Linked DNA regions of Caenorhabditis elegans. The protein of the gene in region 2 interacts with the protein of the main gene of each other region in a pairwise test. Each region holds a gene or a part of one and is shown on either strand. Other genes may lie near its edges.

The links.
Region 1: the proteins of lin-56 (region 2) and lin-15A interact in a two-hybrid assay, tested with the Caenorhabditis elegans proteins (2 studies listed by BioGRID).

What each region holds. Positions count from the first base shown.
Region 1 is NC_003284.9:15,730,127-15,737,605, reverse strand, and holds lin-15A (Protein lin-15A), read right to left. Parts: upstream 5,639-7,479; 5' UTR 5,632-5,638; coding exon 5,353-5,631; intron 4,886-5,352; coding exon 4,796-4,885; intron 4,745-4,795; coding exon 4,307-4,744; intron 3,802-4,306; coding exon 3,697-3,801; intron 3,650-3,696; coding exon 3,482-3,649; intron 3,424-3,481; coding exon 2,344-3,423; 3' UTR 2,241-2,343; downstream 1-2,240. Other genes in the region: srg-64 (Serpentine receptor class gamma), read left to right, coding at 417-598, 649-762; Protein lin-15B, read right to left, coding at 5,995-6,060, 6,110-7,183, 7,237-7,479. UniProt on the Caenorhabditis elegans protein: Synthetic multivulva (synMuv) class A protein. SynMuv proteins are required to repress the induction of vulval development.
Region 2 is NC_003280.10:10,446,624-10,454,280, reverse strand, and holds lin-56 (Protein lin-56), read right to left. Parts: upstream 4,275-7,657; 5' UTR 3,512-4,274; coding exon 3,338-3,511; intron 3,245-3,337; coding exon 3,038-3,244; intron 2,982-3,037; coding exon 2,877-2,981; intron 2,822-2,876; coding exon 2,339-2,821; 3' UTR 2,276-2,338; downstream 1-2,275. Other genes in the region: ZK673.4 (uncharacterized protein), read right to left, coding at 1-23, 67-297, 353-526, 974-1,134, 1,271-1,361; putative adenylate kinase isoenzyme ZK673.2, read right to left, coding at 4,408-4,525, 5,205-5,323, 5,374-5,472, 5,606-5,796, 5,863-6,004. UniProt on the Caenorhabditis elegans protein: Required for translation, stability and/or localization of lin-15a.

The sequences.
Region 1 (7,479 bases), on a different chromosome or scaffold from region 2:
CCAATCATAATTTTGTAAGTCGACCAAAAAAAAATGTTTTTTTTCAACAGTTTTCATACCGTAATTTTGTTTTAATTATTCGTATTGAAGCATTGTAGGGATCAGAATATGCGACATTGCTTTAAATTTCCTCAAAAGCTAATGTTTTTCAAAACTTTGGCAATTGGTCAAAACTTTGGCCGGAAATTATGAAAAGTCTGAAATATTTTTGGTCGTTTTGGATCATTATAAGTGTATTTAGACGAAATTCCCACTGGCGGTACTCCACCTTAAATTTTTCCTAAAACAAAAAGAAATTGTGAAAACAACTTGAAGAAGCATACACTGAATGGGTTGATAAACACATAAAATTCCCACCCCTGCTAGTCTTCGCCAACTAAACTACTTTCCTTAAACAAACTTTAAAAACTTTTCAGGAGGAAGTACTCTCAATGCGAGTATCTCCAGAAAGCTGACAAAAATATCGCTTACCTATTCAGTTGTCTACACCTCGGAGGTTATGTGGAGTGTACTAAACTCTTGCAACTCATATCTAAACTTTCTACCCGATTTTTTCCTTAAATTCAACAATATGCTGTTAGTTTTTGCGTCTGATATTGTGAGTTATATTTATGAATTCAGAAAGAACATTTATTGATTTTCTTCCAGTTCACATTATCTCTACCTTTTATTCTTTTGATCTACGACTCAAATGTGAAAAGTGATTTGTTTAGGATCACCAAGCAATCTGCACCAGGAACTTTGCTTGTACTCACTAATTGATTTTCAATAAAGTCTGCGTAGTTATTGTTGGCTATTTCACGTTTAAACATTATTTAGATGTTCATGTTATTTCATTTTTCAAAACAATGTATCGCAGTTTTTTAGCTAAGGGGTGAAAATCGTATATGAAAAATAAATCAATAAATACTGCACTGAATTACACATAGCGAAGGGGCAACAATGACCGTCTTCGCGATACTCTCTAGTGATGTAAATGGGCAGGGGGGAGTACAGGAGGGTGTATGAGATTTTGACAGAGAGATAGTATGTATGTGAAAATGAATAATGTATGAATGAGGGGTGAGCGGCAAACGATTTTTTTCGGCAAACCGGCAAATTGCCGGAATTGAAAAATTTAGCAAATCAGCAAATTGCCGGAATTGAAAAATGTGGCAAATCGGCAAATTGCCGGAATTGAAAATTTCCGACAAATCGACAAATTGCCGGGATTTAAAATTTTCGGCAGATCGGAAATTGAAGTTTTGCACAACAAATTGCCGGAATTGAAAGTTTCCGGCAAATCGGCAAGTTGCCGGAATTGAAAATTTTCGGCAAATCGGTAAATTGCCGGTATTAAACATTTCCGGCAAATCGACAAATTGCCGGAATCGCGAATTTCCGGCAAATGGACTGAATTAAAAATTTCCGGCAAATCGGTAAATTGCCGGTTTGAACATTTCCGGCAAATCGACAAATTGCCGGAATTGAAAGTTTTCGGCAAAATGGCAAATTGCCGAAATTGAAAAATTTTGGCAAATCGGCAGATTGCCGGAATTAAAAATTTCCGGCAAATCGGCGAATTGTCGGAATTGAAAATTTCCGGCAAATCGACAAATGGCCGGAATTGAAATTTCCGGCAAATCGGCGAAATGCCGGAGTTGAAAAATTCCTGCAAATCGGTAAATTGCCGGTATTGAACATTTCCGGCAAATCGACAAATTGCCGGAATTGAAAGTTTTCGGCAAAATGGCAAATTGCCGAAATTGAAAAGTTTTGGCAAATCGGCAGATTGCCGGAATTAAAAATTTCGGGAAAACCGACAAATCGCAGGAACTGAAATTTCCGGCAATTGGCCGGAATCGAAAATTTCCAGCAAATCGGCAAATCGCCGGGAGTGAAAATTTCCGGCAAATCGGCATCTTTCCAAAATTAAAAACTTCCAGAAAATCGGCAAATTGTCGGAATTGAAAATTTCCGGCAAATCGACAAATGGCCGGAATTAAACATTTCCGGCAAACATAATTTGCTCTTTTTTGGAATTGCGGTATGTTGTTTTATCTTTTGGATACGGGTTTCAATCAATAAACACCATTAAATTTTTTTTCTGAAAAGACGTCAACAAAACCAACACGCACAAAACACTTTTCTAACCTGAAAAATTCCGTGTGACCGAACAAAAATTCATTGCAAAAACTTTTAATTTCAGACTTCCTCCTCACGAAATGCGCTAAACTCGAAATTCTTGAAATAGTTTTGATAACAAGTAACATATTTATAAGATCGATTGTGATGAGAAAAAAACAGTTTAAAAAAAACATGAAATTGAACTAAAAAGATAATAATCAAAGTTATCAAGAACGTTTAAAAAATTGGCTCAGGCTTTGGATCCATGAGCAACTCTTCCGGCTTCTTTTCCATGTGCGTTGGCGGAATATGTTTTGGCTCACTCGGTGCGGCGGCCACTTGTTTCGCAAGGTGAGGATTTCGGTTTCTCACAACTTTAATCATGCGTCTTGGTGAGGCAGATGTTGGCTGATTTAAGAGATCCGTTTTATTCTCTACCGATTTTCTTGTTCGGTAACTCATTGAACCAAATGCAGTCGTTAACATTCTTCCTAGACGGACCGCTGGTTTCTCTACGTTCGTTTTGGTTGGTGGTTTTTTTTCAACGGGGCTCGAAGATTCCACGTGGGTAGGTTTGTTTTGAAGAAGCGTAGGTACTAATTCTTCTTCTTCTTCTTCCTTTTGAGGCGCCCCAAATGATTGACGTATTCCCTCCATCTCGGATGAGCTTGATGAGTCTGTGGACGTAGAAGGCTGGTTTTGTGCACGTGGCGCTGTAGTCAATGCGTCTTTAAGAGTATTAGTGCGAAGAACGACATTCCCTTGAACTACAACTTTCGGAGGTCCGGTTCCGTTTTCAAAACGCAAGTATTTCTTTCCATTGACAACACAGAACTTTAGTGGCGCAGATGGCGGAGTGGGGGAGCTTGGCTTCTCACCAAATGCATTACGAGCATAAGAAACTTTGGATTTGTGCAAAAGCGCCTCGTCGGCAATTGAATGACCTTCCAAAACACGCGTTGCTAGGTGAACATAGTCAATTGGAGTTTTCGTTTTTTTTGCGTTCCATGAGATACTCGATGATCCAGCATCATCCTGTTCAGGCGAATGAAGCTTTCGCTTTCTGCGTTCTACAGTGTTCTGCATCTCACTTTGATTGGGAATATACGGTTCACTAGGTGCATCTTCACTGTGATCTCGATAAGCTTTTGCAGCTGCAGCAGCAAACTTGTTGTCAAGAATATCCTCGATTTTCCGTCTCCGAGATGTGAAACGATTATCTTTCCCATTGATGAGTTGAATGAGTTCTTGCTTATCAGCATCACTGAGGCTAAGATTATGATTCAGCAACTCATTTAGATTCGTCGATGGAGGCACCTTAAACGAATAATTTTTTAAATTTTTTTAAAATTTTCACAAGTGTCACAAGACTCACCGATTGCAAAAGCGCAACCAGCTCTGAGAACGGTTTGGGAGACGGTTTACTGAGAGACCCATTGACCATCCTTGGCACGTGGTTACGGTAATAAGATTTAATGGAATTCTTGAATGAGTAAAGCGGAGTGTTCGACGTAACCTTCCCTTTGTGCAGGTCGCCGACTCTCTTAAAACATTTCACCGTTGTAGAACAACGAGATATGACAATCAAACCTTCAGTGCTCTATAGATATCATGGCCACGCATCAATCTGTCCGGTGGCATCTCATTGATCTCGCTTTCCGTTTTAGCTTCAAAGGCGTCGCACATCATTTCGTACTGAAAAAGTGGTGTATGGTTTTTTTTAAACTAAAATCTCTAAACTAAAAGGGGGCAGGATAGCTCAGTCGGTAGTGGTGGCCGCTAGCAATCTGGAGGTCACAAGTTCAAGTCCAACCTCACCACCTAGGTTTTCATCCAGCCTCTATTGGTAAGTAGAGCAGTCCACGATAGGATTATCGGCCACAGTCCCCGGCTAGGACGTGGCTTAAATTATAACTCAGTGGGAGCACCACCTGAATCCCAGATCCGTAGTGCATAGGACTTGAAGAACGGATCGTCCTTTAATTCTTGTTTTCTAGTCTAATGTATTAATATCGATCACATATATAAAATAAAATAGAGGTTGTACTAAACAAAACACCAAAAATTTTGAACTTTTGCCATGAAAATTATAAATAAAATTAATAACTTTTAAATTAGAATTTATGTTCTAATCAGCTTTAGAAAAGTTTTCACAGCTTTTCAAACTTAACTATTTTGAAAAAAATACTGAACAACTTACTACAAAATCAACATGATCATAGCACATCCTTAGCCTCTCATGACGAATCGCTTTCTCTGCAGTTGCCATTCTAAAGTGGCCAGACATCACTGCCGCCATCAAAACTTTCACAGCTTCGTTATCAGTCATTGCAATGCTTTCTCGCATTAAAAGAGCCTTCTCGCAGAGTATGCACGGAGTCAGATAGGTACAATACGTGTAGTCACTCGGTTGAGATCCCTCTCGTGTGGCACGGGGTTTCGAGGGGCTGGGTTCACTTGGAAAGTGTGAAAAAATTTCCGCGCTACTTTTGAATTGTCCCTTGCTTGCAGCCGCCGTCAGAACATCCTTCACGCTTTGCGTTGGTGTTGAGTTTGGAATTGTATTCGCAAAATGCTTCATGATCGAAGCAGACTCAGCTGATTGTTCTTCAGTTGCTGAAGCTTTTTTCTCTTGGAGCTGAAACCATATACGCATTATTATGAATAATCTTCAAACATTTCTGCTTACCAATCGAACAGATTCCATTGACTGGGTAGGTGTTTGTATTGTCTTGACTTTTGGAATTGTCTTTTTTTCAGCTTGTACATTGGAGTTTGGCTGAAACATTGAAGATAGAACACTTCTTATTCAACCTTATCATGATTCAAAACGACCGAATATCATAATAAAACACTCCAAAAATTTTTAGATCTTTCATAATTTCCAGTCAAAGTTTTGGCATATTGCCAAAACTATGAAAAATATGAGCTTTTGAGGAAATCCACAGCAATGTCGCATGTTCCGACCCCAACAATGTTTTAATACAAGTAGGCAAAACAAAATTGCATTTTAAATGTAGGAGAACATTTTTTTGTCGACTTCCAAAATTATGATTGGCAAACACTGAATGATTGTCACTTTTTGACAGTAAATAAAAAATTTTCAAAAAATGTTTGAAAAGTTTTATTTTGATATTTGGTCCTTTTGGCACTAAAGGAGTAGTTTTTAACAATTTCCCCACTGGCGCTACTCCACCTTTAACTAGATATATCAGAAAATGGGAGAAAATCCTTAAAAAGCCATACCTCTCTTTTGACACCAACAACAACTGCGGCAATTGGGTTGAAATGCCGGACGAGCTCCTGGAAACATGTGAGCTGCAGAGCATCCGTTCCAATGCCGGCACTTTTAACAAACTTCATCGCTAGGGCATTGCATTTCTTGTTGAAAGCCATCCGATCGTTCGCCAAGCTTGACATTCGCATAGCATCAACGTTTTTCATTCGAAATTTTCTTTTCGCAATGATTTCTTCTTTTTCATCTGCCGAGACAACATCTTTAGCTGGAGCCGCTGGAGCCAACATTAGGAATCTGAATAAGTGATAGTGTATGATAAGCAAGATAGGAAAGTAAAGGAAAATTGTCATTTGGTGATGTGAAACCATTTGGAAAGAATTAGAAAAAAACCAGTTGGCATCAAATTTCGGTGAACATTTATAAAACTGATATAAAACTACAAAATATAAAAATGATGAGATCATCTCATCATTGTGAGGTTTCAGATGAATGATGATTAAAATAAATAGGTAAAATAAAAGTGGTAATTTTAAGGGCAATCAAAGTAACAGGGTAAAACTATGCGTATGACTTAATCATCAAAAACATCAATGGAGAAAAAATTATATATAAAAACAACAATCAGGAACGGTGGATGAAAATATTTCCACTTATTCGTTGCTGGGTGGTGTGGGGGTTGGCAGCTTATTAGCATCTTTGCGCGGTCGTCCGACTGGCTGAAAAAATATAAAAATAATTCAAAGCATATATTTTTCAAAAACTCACTCTTCCAGCAATCTTGGGCTTTTTAACAATTGGAGATTCTTCATACTCTTCCTCCTCCTCTTCCTCATCAGCAAAAGCAAAGCTTCGTCTAGCAACAGCTTGTCGAATCAATCTTCCACTTGGTGTTTTTTCAGGCACGTATTCGCAATCTTCGCCGACAATTTCTCCGTCTTCGAGTTGTACGTAACCTTTCTTAAGTGCACGTCGTTGAGATGTTCCCGGATTGTAGTCGTAGTCGGTGAGGCTTTTTTCAGCTTCTGGTGTTACACTATTCTTGGGATACTTCCTTGGGCGCCCTCTTGGGTTCGGAGTATGAGCAGGTGGTGTTACCAAGTTAAGAGGTCCATCCTCGTTTGACAACTCCCGCTTTCTATAGGTACGTTTTATCACTGGAGCATTGTTGTAAACTGCTGCTTGACTGGGCTCGTCGTCTGAAGTCTCTTCCGTTGGGGATCTTGACATTTCTTCATATTCCTCTTCTTCTTCTTCTTCCTGAGTATATTCAACACCGTCGGGGTTTAACATATTCGCCAAATCAATGGCTGAATTCTTATCAGTTCCAGACTTGCGCTCTTTGAGTTTGAGGAAGTTGTTCCCTTGAATGATATACGTGGTCTCAACTTTTTCTGGAGCAGCATCTGGAATCATTCCTTTCAAAAGTCTACCACGACTGCTGAACGCTGCATCTGGGAAATGGCTTCGGCAAATTAGGTTTTCCGTATTGGTGTGAAGTCGGGCTTCAAATTCTGGTCCAAGCTTATCCACCCATCTAGCCAAACGTTCCTCACTTCTCGGGACACGAAGCATTCCACCTCGGTCGCCACGTTTCGAACAGAAGCAGCAAACGCCCGGATTGTCGCATTCCTCATTTTCAGACGGTTTGACAGTTGGGAGCTTGAAATCTTCCTGCTCTATAACCTTGACAGTTCCGTCATGCTGATCAGCTTCCAGAACTTGCTTGCGTGGCTGGCGAAAGAGTTTCGGTATGATTTCTTGCTCATCCACATCGTTTCTCTCTGGCTCAGGTTCGGGCTCGCGGTAGTCAAAGTATTGTTGTCCAAGTTTCTTCAATTCCTAAAAACAATTAATTTGTTTCAAAATGTGCAATTTTAAAAACGGAAACTTACCGCTGGCGTTTCACGAAGATGATTATTTCTTTCGGCAAAATCGTGAAGAATCTTTCGAAGTTGTGAAGCAATAATGTGTGGACGGAGGGCGGAAACAGTGATCAATGCGTTCTGAATCAAGTCCAATGGGCAAATCAGAATATCATCGGCAGATTTCAGACGTAGCATCTGGTAGATCTCGTCGAGGGTCTCCAGGAAATGGAGACGGCAAATGTACGTTTTGCTCTCACGCGCCATGAAAAG
Region 2 (7,657 bases):
AGAGTTTTATGCATTGCTTTGTACTGAAATTAAGAATATTCATAAATAATGCTTTCTTATACATACATAGTGAAGTGAATGCCTAAGACAAACAGTTAGGTATTCACTTAAAATATCCCGTTTTGCCTGTCGTATTGTCTTCTGATCAGTGAGGACTGCAGCTGTCAAGAAGATCGCAGCATCATCATCAGATACACGTATGCTTCGGTGACCAGGTACTTCATTTCCACATATGATACACGGAGGCTGTGTCGATGAGAGAAATGGATCACGAGCATGACTATCCATGAATTTATTCTGAAAAAAAAACATTGGTTGAAGATCTACATTGAAGTGCATTGATCTGACTTACCACAACATCCGCACTCGGGATCATCACCAATGGATTTAAATGTCGTAGGACAGAGATGAAGCTAGCATTATTAACAAGATTAGCAGGTAATCCACATTTTCGAAGAAAACTCGTTATTAAATTTGTAGTTTGATTGTGGAATCGCAGTTGCTCATCGGATGGCTGGCAAAGCATCTGAAATAGAAAAATTTAATAATTGAGAAATAAATTTCACCTTGTCTAAAATGTGGGTTTTTTTAATCTCAGTTAACGTTTTGGTAAATTGCCAAAATTCCACTTATACTTTACTTTTACAAAATTTGGAATTAAAAAAATAAAAAAATAAAAAATAAAAATTTAGAAAATTATTGCATATTTAAAAATAAGTATTTGGAACGTAATCAACAAATTTTTAGAAAAAACCGATGTTTTTGATCGACTTCCAAAGTTGAAAGTTTTGGTAAAATGCCAAATTTTTTATAAAAATTGGCTGTTTTTAATGTTGAACATTTTTAAAACATTCTTTGATGAAAAAAATAACGTTTTTTAAACATTGTTTTTCTCACTGAATAATTTAATTTTTCATTGAATCTTGCCCGATTAATGTGAACTGCAATTGTATCTATAATTAAGAATACCTACATCTGCTTTCAGTTCCATTTTTTCCACTTTTGGAGCCACTGGGAGTACTGTAGGTGGAGTAGTTGTATTGAGAGTAACTTGCGGAGGCTGTGATCCGTCAACTTCTGCAAACTCATTTGGATGTAACCTTTTCATATGTTTGATCTGTGGATACGTGGAACCTGAAAAAATACTGAAATTGATGGAAATTAAAAAAAAAAAAAACTACGGTAGCTTTTAGATTCAGAAACTATATGGTTTTGCTCTAGAGATTTACAGAAAGTCGATCTCTAAAATGTTTTTTTAAATCCAAATCACCTTGTTGTCCTCTTTTTCCGATATAATTACAAATTTTGCATCTAAATCTTCCTTCTTCTATAGCATCGTAGAACTTTGCAATTTTAGACATCTGAAAAAAGAATTAAAATAATAAAAGGAAAACTCAGATATTTATCTACAGAAAAAATGAAGTGAGGAAAAACTAAGAATTGAGAGAATGTGGGTATAATTGCCGGTTGCTAGGTTACGGCAACTCGGCAATTACCTTCTCGGTGAGCCACCACGATTTTGGATCCACATTCCTGTTCATAAATGCAGAGTAAGTTTGAAGATGAAACATGTCAAGTCATTCGGCAACCCGGTTGCCGTGGCTGGCAATTGGAAAATCAATACGTATTTACCAAGCACCGACGACCACCGACTTTTTCGGCACACTCAGCGGAGCGCGTTTACAATTTGGTGTTCGGCTGTGTGCGCGTTCAGTAGTCTTCGTGTTTTTTGCAATAAAACAAAACATTTGGAAATCTGAAATATTTCTCGGGCATTTCCAGCGCTAAATAACTCGATACAAAATATTAATTGTGCAAAAAATAGATATATTGTAATTTCACAAGATTTTGACATTTCTTATTAAAGGCGCACGGATTCATCCAGATGGGTCTCGGCACGATAAAAGTTGATGGTATTATTTTTTGTGGCAGCTTTCTAGTTTATTCTCCTTGCATTTCTCAATGAAAAAACATAGTTTTTTGCGAATTGTGTTGCTTTCTTTTTATTTCCTGGCCGACAAACAGAAAATCACACATTTTTTGATGAAAAAAAATAGTTTTTGTAATGCGAAAACTGATTTAAAATAATTTTTAACAGAAAATGGATCAAAAACGGCAAAAACTTTTTTGCGTGCCAAGACTCATCTGGATAAATCCGGGCGCCTTTAAGAGGCACATCAAAATCATGCGAAATTACAACAAGTCCTGAAAAATTTATAGATTTGTGCACTCTGGAGGCTAAAAGATTCGATTCAATGTATTGGTTGTGCAGGAAAATTGTTATATGGTTTTATTGACAAAAACAAAAAAAATTTCCAAAACGTTTGATTAAATAAATTCAGGCTTCATCATCCTCGCTGTCGGTGATCGGCGCCCAGTATCCCTCTTCTTCAACGTAGTCCTTTTTTCCTGGCTTTTCATACTTTTTGTCTGAAGCTTCATCTTTCAATTTGTTGCTATATTTGTCCATTTGCTCCACTTTTTCAGGAAAACCATTTTGCTGCAGTTTTTGGGACGAATCAATTATATCACTTGAAGAAAAGTCGGATATAGTTTTGTCAAGTTCATGAGTTTCAATTGGTTCCAGTTTTACCTCCACTAGGTTTTCAGAAAACTTCGATTTCTCTGCAGCTTCTTCTTGTGGGCTCTCCATTTTAATTTCTACGTTTTCTGAATCCATTTCTTCAAAACATTCATCAAAATGAGAAGATTCTTTATCCTTTTTGTCGTCATCAATTTCACCAAAAGTATCCAAAAATGATTGCAATATTGATTTAAAATTGCGCACATCGAACTTTGTGAACTGCTCGCCCAGGGAAGACTGAAAATTTTTATTTTAAATTTAACTTTATTAAATTTCCAATTAAATAACTTACTCGAATCATCGTGTAGACTTTGCACCAACGATTGGCAAGACTGTATTTTGCATGATGAGCACAGTAGGTGTTCTCGATTTGCAGTCCTTCGAAGATGACATGGAACTGGAATTAAATCTTTTTTTTTAATTTTTTCCTTTTCAATTTAAATTAAAACTTACAATACTGTTGAAATGTTTCGTGCATGCTCGAAGACTCTCCTTTCGAATTTGATTAACTGCATCACTTGGATCTCTACAGTAACCAATTACTGTCGCTGTGAGAATAATTGAAGCATTATCGATGCTTAATGTCACTGCGGAATCTGATTCAGTTTCCATTCCACACACAATGCAACGAATCGGTGATTTTAGCAATAATTGTTTTTCCTGAAATACATGTTTTTAAATTATAATATTAAAACTATTTACTTTTTCAAGTCTCTGCAAAAAATCTGCAAAAAAAAAATAAATAAAACTCACAATTTCTGGAACCGTTGGAATTGGAGCCGTGGGATTCAAATACGCAAAGAACTCCAAAAAGCTGTCCATATTCACTATCGTCGCATTCTGCCCAGTCTTTTCGATGAATTCCGCCAATAATCGGACAGTAGTTTTGTTGAATTCAGCGGTTCGGTACATAGCATGGTGATCCATTTTTTAAAGGTTTTTTAATTGTAAAAATGCCACAAAATATCTAGTTTTTTGCAATATAGATTGTAAATTAAACGAATGAAGGAGAGAAATCGGGAAATTTCGTTTCTCTCCTCTGCGTCTCCCATTTCTTTTGAATTTTCAACAGAGCGCGTTTGCACTCTCTTTACTTGAACATATTTTTTGCGAGGACATTCATTATTTCCTTAAATATTACAGACTCGAAATGTTACAATTTTTCGTTAAAAATTTGGTACTTGGTCTCGACACGACTAATTTATGTTTAACGAGAAAAAGTATGCGCCTTTAAAGAGTACTGTAGGTTGAAACTCTCGTTTATTCCCAATTTTTATCGATTTTTTCGATTCTCACGATGTGTTAAAAATTAATGTCTTTATATTGTTCAGTTATCGAGAAGTTGTCGTGTCGAGACGAGGTACCGTATTTTCAGCGAAAAAGTCGTCTCTCTCTGTCTTCTCTTCTATCCTGTAAACATGAAGCCTACGGTCAAAATCCGCAAATGAAGAACTTGAAAACAAATTTTAGAAATATGAAAAGATTTTCATTTACACGCAAAAATACCCATAACTTGAAGAGAAGAAAATAAGAAAACAAATAAATGAAAAATCATGTGTATAAAATCATGTGTGTCGTGTCGAGAAAAAATTTAAGAAATATTGGATTTCAAAAATCCGTTTTCAGATATAGGAAAATTGTTGGATAACAGGGGAAAACATGGGGCAAACCGAAATAAAGCGTTCATGGAGAAAGGAAGAGAGAAGAAAAAACAGCAGAATTAATTCGATTTTCTAGGGAGACTAACCCGTAATCAAATGGTTCAATGGGTGTTCAAAGGTCTGGATGGTTAGAGAAATAGGATACAGTATTCAGTGTAGAACTTATGCGTATGCAGTTCTTGGAGTTGTCGTCAAAAGATCACGACGCATCACTTCGGCAACCGACTCGAATACGGCTTTCGATGATTCACCAGACATTGTGATGCACTTGTTTTGCTTCCTGGAAATGAGAAAAGTGTTAATTAAGTAAATTTAGCTATTTGCCAATAACGCTCTCAAACAATGTCAATGAGATCGTTTTTTCAAAAAATAGCTTACTTTTATGAAAAAAAGGTACAGGTTTGTTGAAGACAGAGGTTTCAATCTTGAAAATTAGGCAGTCTAATCTAATTTTTGATCATCTAAGTTTTCAACAAGGATACTTCATTTTCTTGAAAGTGAATTATTTTCTGAACAACGGTCACATTTTTTGATTACCCATAAATGTATATTACATAGAAGTGGAATTTTGAGCGAAATATACGGTACCCGGTCTCGACAGGACAAACTTATGTTGAATGGAAAAATGTGTGTGCGCCTTTAAGGAGTACTGTAGTTTCAAACTTTAGCCGCAGCGGAATTTTCATTGATTTTTCGAATTTTTTCATTTAAAATATAAATATTTATTTGCAAAAACAAATTAAACGAACGTTTATTACAGTTAAAATTCGCATCCAACTAAAAATTGTCGGTTTTTGGTTTAAAAATTACAAAATTTCGTGTATGGTTAATAGGAGAAATTTTTAAACCCTATTACGTAATGGAATAATCGCCGAGGCAAAATAATTGCTTCGAAGAATTTTTATGTTTTTTTTTCAACATTTCAACATTTTTTATAGATTTTCAAAAACAAAACTCACTTATAATAGTCCAACACCTTGTTTTCTGTCTTATCGTAAACCTCAAGCCTCCTTCTTGCCACCTCCAACTGATCCGTGCTTCGCTTGAACAGTGGCTCTCCCGTGATATCGTCTTTGCCCTGTAAATAATTCATTAAAACAGGAATTAATTTTTTTAAAATCGGCTGACCTCCTCCTTTGGTGGATTCACTTCCAAATTGTATGCTCTTCCGGATGCTGGATGCACCAATTGCTTTGACAAACGATCGATGAGCACTTTGCGAGGAACCTTTAAAAATATTTGTTTTTTTTTCGTTTCTTGTTTAATTTTATTTCAAAAACCCACTTTTAAAAATTGTTTTTTTTTTCAAAAACCCACTTTTAAAAATTTTTGTTTTTTTTCAAAAACAAAAAACACAAACCTTCAATTCAACGATCAAATTCAACGGCGCCTGCTCTTCAACCATTTTCAGCTGGCTCATGTTTCGTGGATATCCGTCGAGAACGACACGTGGTCCTGCTTTAAGCATCTCCGCCAGTATGGCTCCGTTCAGAATACTGTCTGGAACGTGCTCGCCCTTGTTGAGGAACGATTGTGCACGAACTCCGAATTCTGCAAAATTTTAATGGTTTTTTTAAACTAATTTTCTTTTAAATGGCAGAAATTATCAATGCTTACCTGTCCCTCTGGCAATATGATCGCGAATAAAGTCTCCAGCAGCGAAATAATTGAATCCTAGGGGTTCGAATTCTCGCACGAGCATTCGTGCAATTGTTCCCTTTCCGCTGCCAGCAGCACCACTCAAAAGCACTCGATACATTAGTTTTTCGGCTGAAAAAGTGGAAATTAAAGTTCTGAAAATCATAGAATAGAATAATAAAGTATAAAGAAGCAATTAAAATTGAGTAAGGATGAATGTAATAAAAGAAAATCCCAGAATTATATAGTTTTAAAAGGCTTCTGACTAAACGTATCAGTAAAACTAGAAGGTGATAAATATATTATTTTGAGAAAACTTGAGAATAGTTCAAGCAAATTTGCAAAGAAAAGAACATATGTGTTTTAAACTCCACAGATATCCGATTGCAAGCAGAAAACGTGCCAAACTCAACGAATCTTAAACTCTAACCGAATGAGTTGAAAAACAGAGAAAAAAAAAGAAGAAAAATGTTGGCTACCAACAATTTAAAGCCATCCATGCAGTGGTCGTCATGAGAAGAAAGACGCAAATGACGAGTGATTTGGCGGAGGAACAGAAGAAACAGGCCGAAAGAACGAGCAGACGTGTGACTGTTCATGGAATATCACAGTTGACCAGACTGGATGGGAAAAAAACATCGAATCATGAGCTTCTGCCGTTCTTTCTCACATTCTTTAGACGTTCCATGTGCACTGAGATAGGACATATGATTCCAAGAAATATGCGAATTTTCTATCAACAACGTCAGTTGGTTCGAAAAAATTTAACAACTGGAAGCATGTCAATGTGACGCCACGAGAATGGCTCGTCATCAAACATTTTTTCTGCAAAAATGATAAGAAAATGAGTGCACACCACATGATTAGGCTTCATCATGGTTTTACACTATGATAACATGGGGGAAACCGATCGACGAATCAAATTAAATCACGATGAAGAGATACGGAAAAACAGGTTCTACAGGGTGCAAAGAACCTAGGTCATTCTTTCGTATGTACTAGATAACCATAATATTAATTGCTGGTGGTTTATTGCAGATTGTGAATCGTGAGGAATGTATTCATGAGAAGATCAAGGACTTTTTCTACAATATTCAGCCAATACATCGGAGTTAACTCTAAAGACAACTATGTGATGATAGAATCAAGATCACCAGGAGCCACGTGAGCAATGGCACCTGATCAGTTAGAAAGCTAGAACACCAACTGATGCCATCGAAACTTTAGAGGTTAACGGATATCCGACCTCCTTCTGGCGCCAAACCAAACCATATGATAAGACAGCAAATACGACCTCTTGGCACCTGAACAGTATGTGTGCTCCTCCGCTCTCTGCATAAAAATGAAATTAAAGCAAATATTTGCCGATTGGAAGCTTGAAAACTCTAAATTTACACACTCTCCACTTTTAAATTTTCACGTGAGCATTTTCCTAGAGAATAAAGAAATTGATTACTTAAAATTGGAATAAAGTGTTCAAAATGGAAAATGGTTTGACAGACATATAAATGAAAAATAATAGCGAAATTTCATTCGACCTTCACACTTGTTTGGCCTACACTGTCACATTACTGGTATAAACTAACAACATGATGTCATCGATGAAAGATACTTTGGACTATTCCATAGAACTAAAATTTTAGGATAGATATTTTAAAAACTAGATTATTTGGATTAGAGTAACTCAAACTTTAGGGAAGTTTGCACGGACAACTTCATTTAATATTATTCAATTTTTACCAGCGAACATTCAAAAAAAAATTGTTTGAAATAT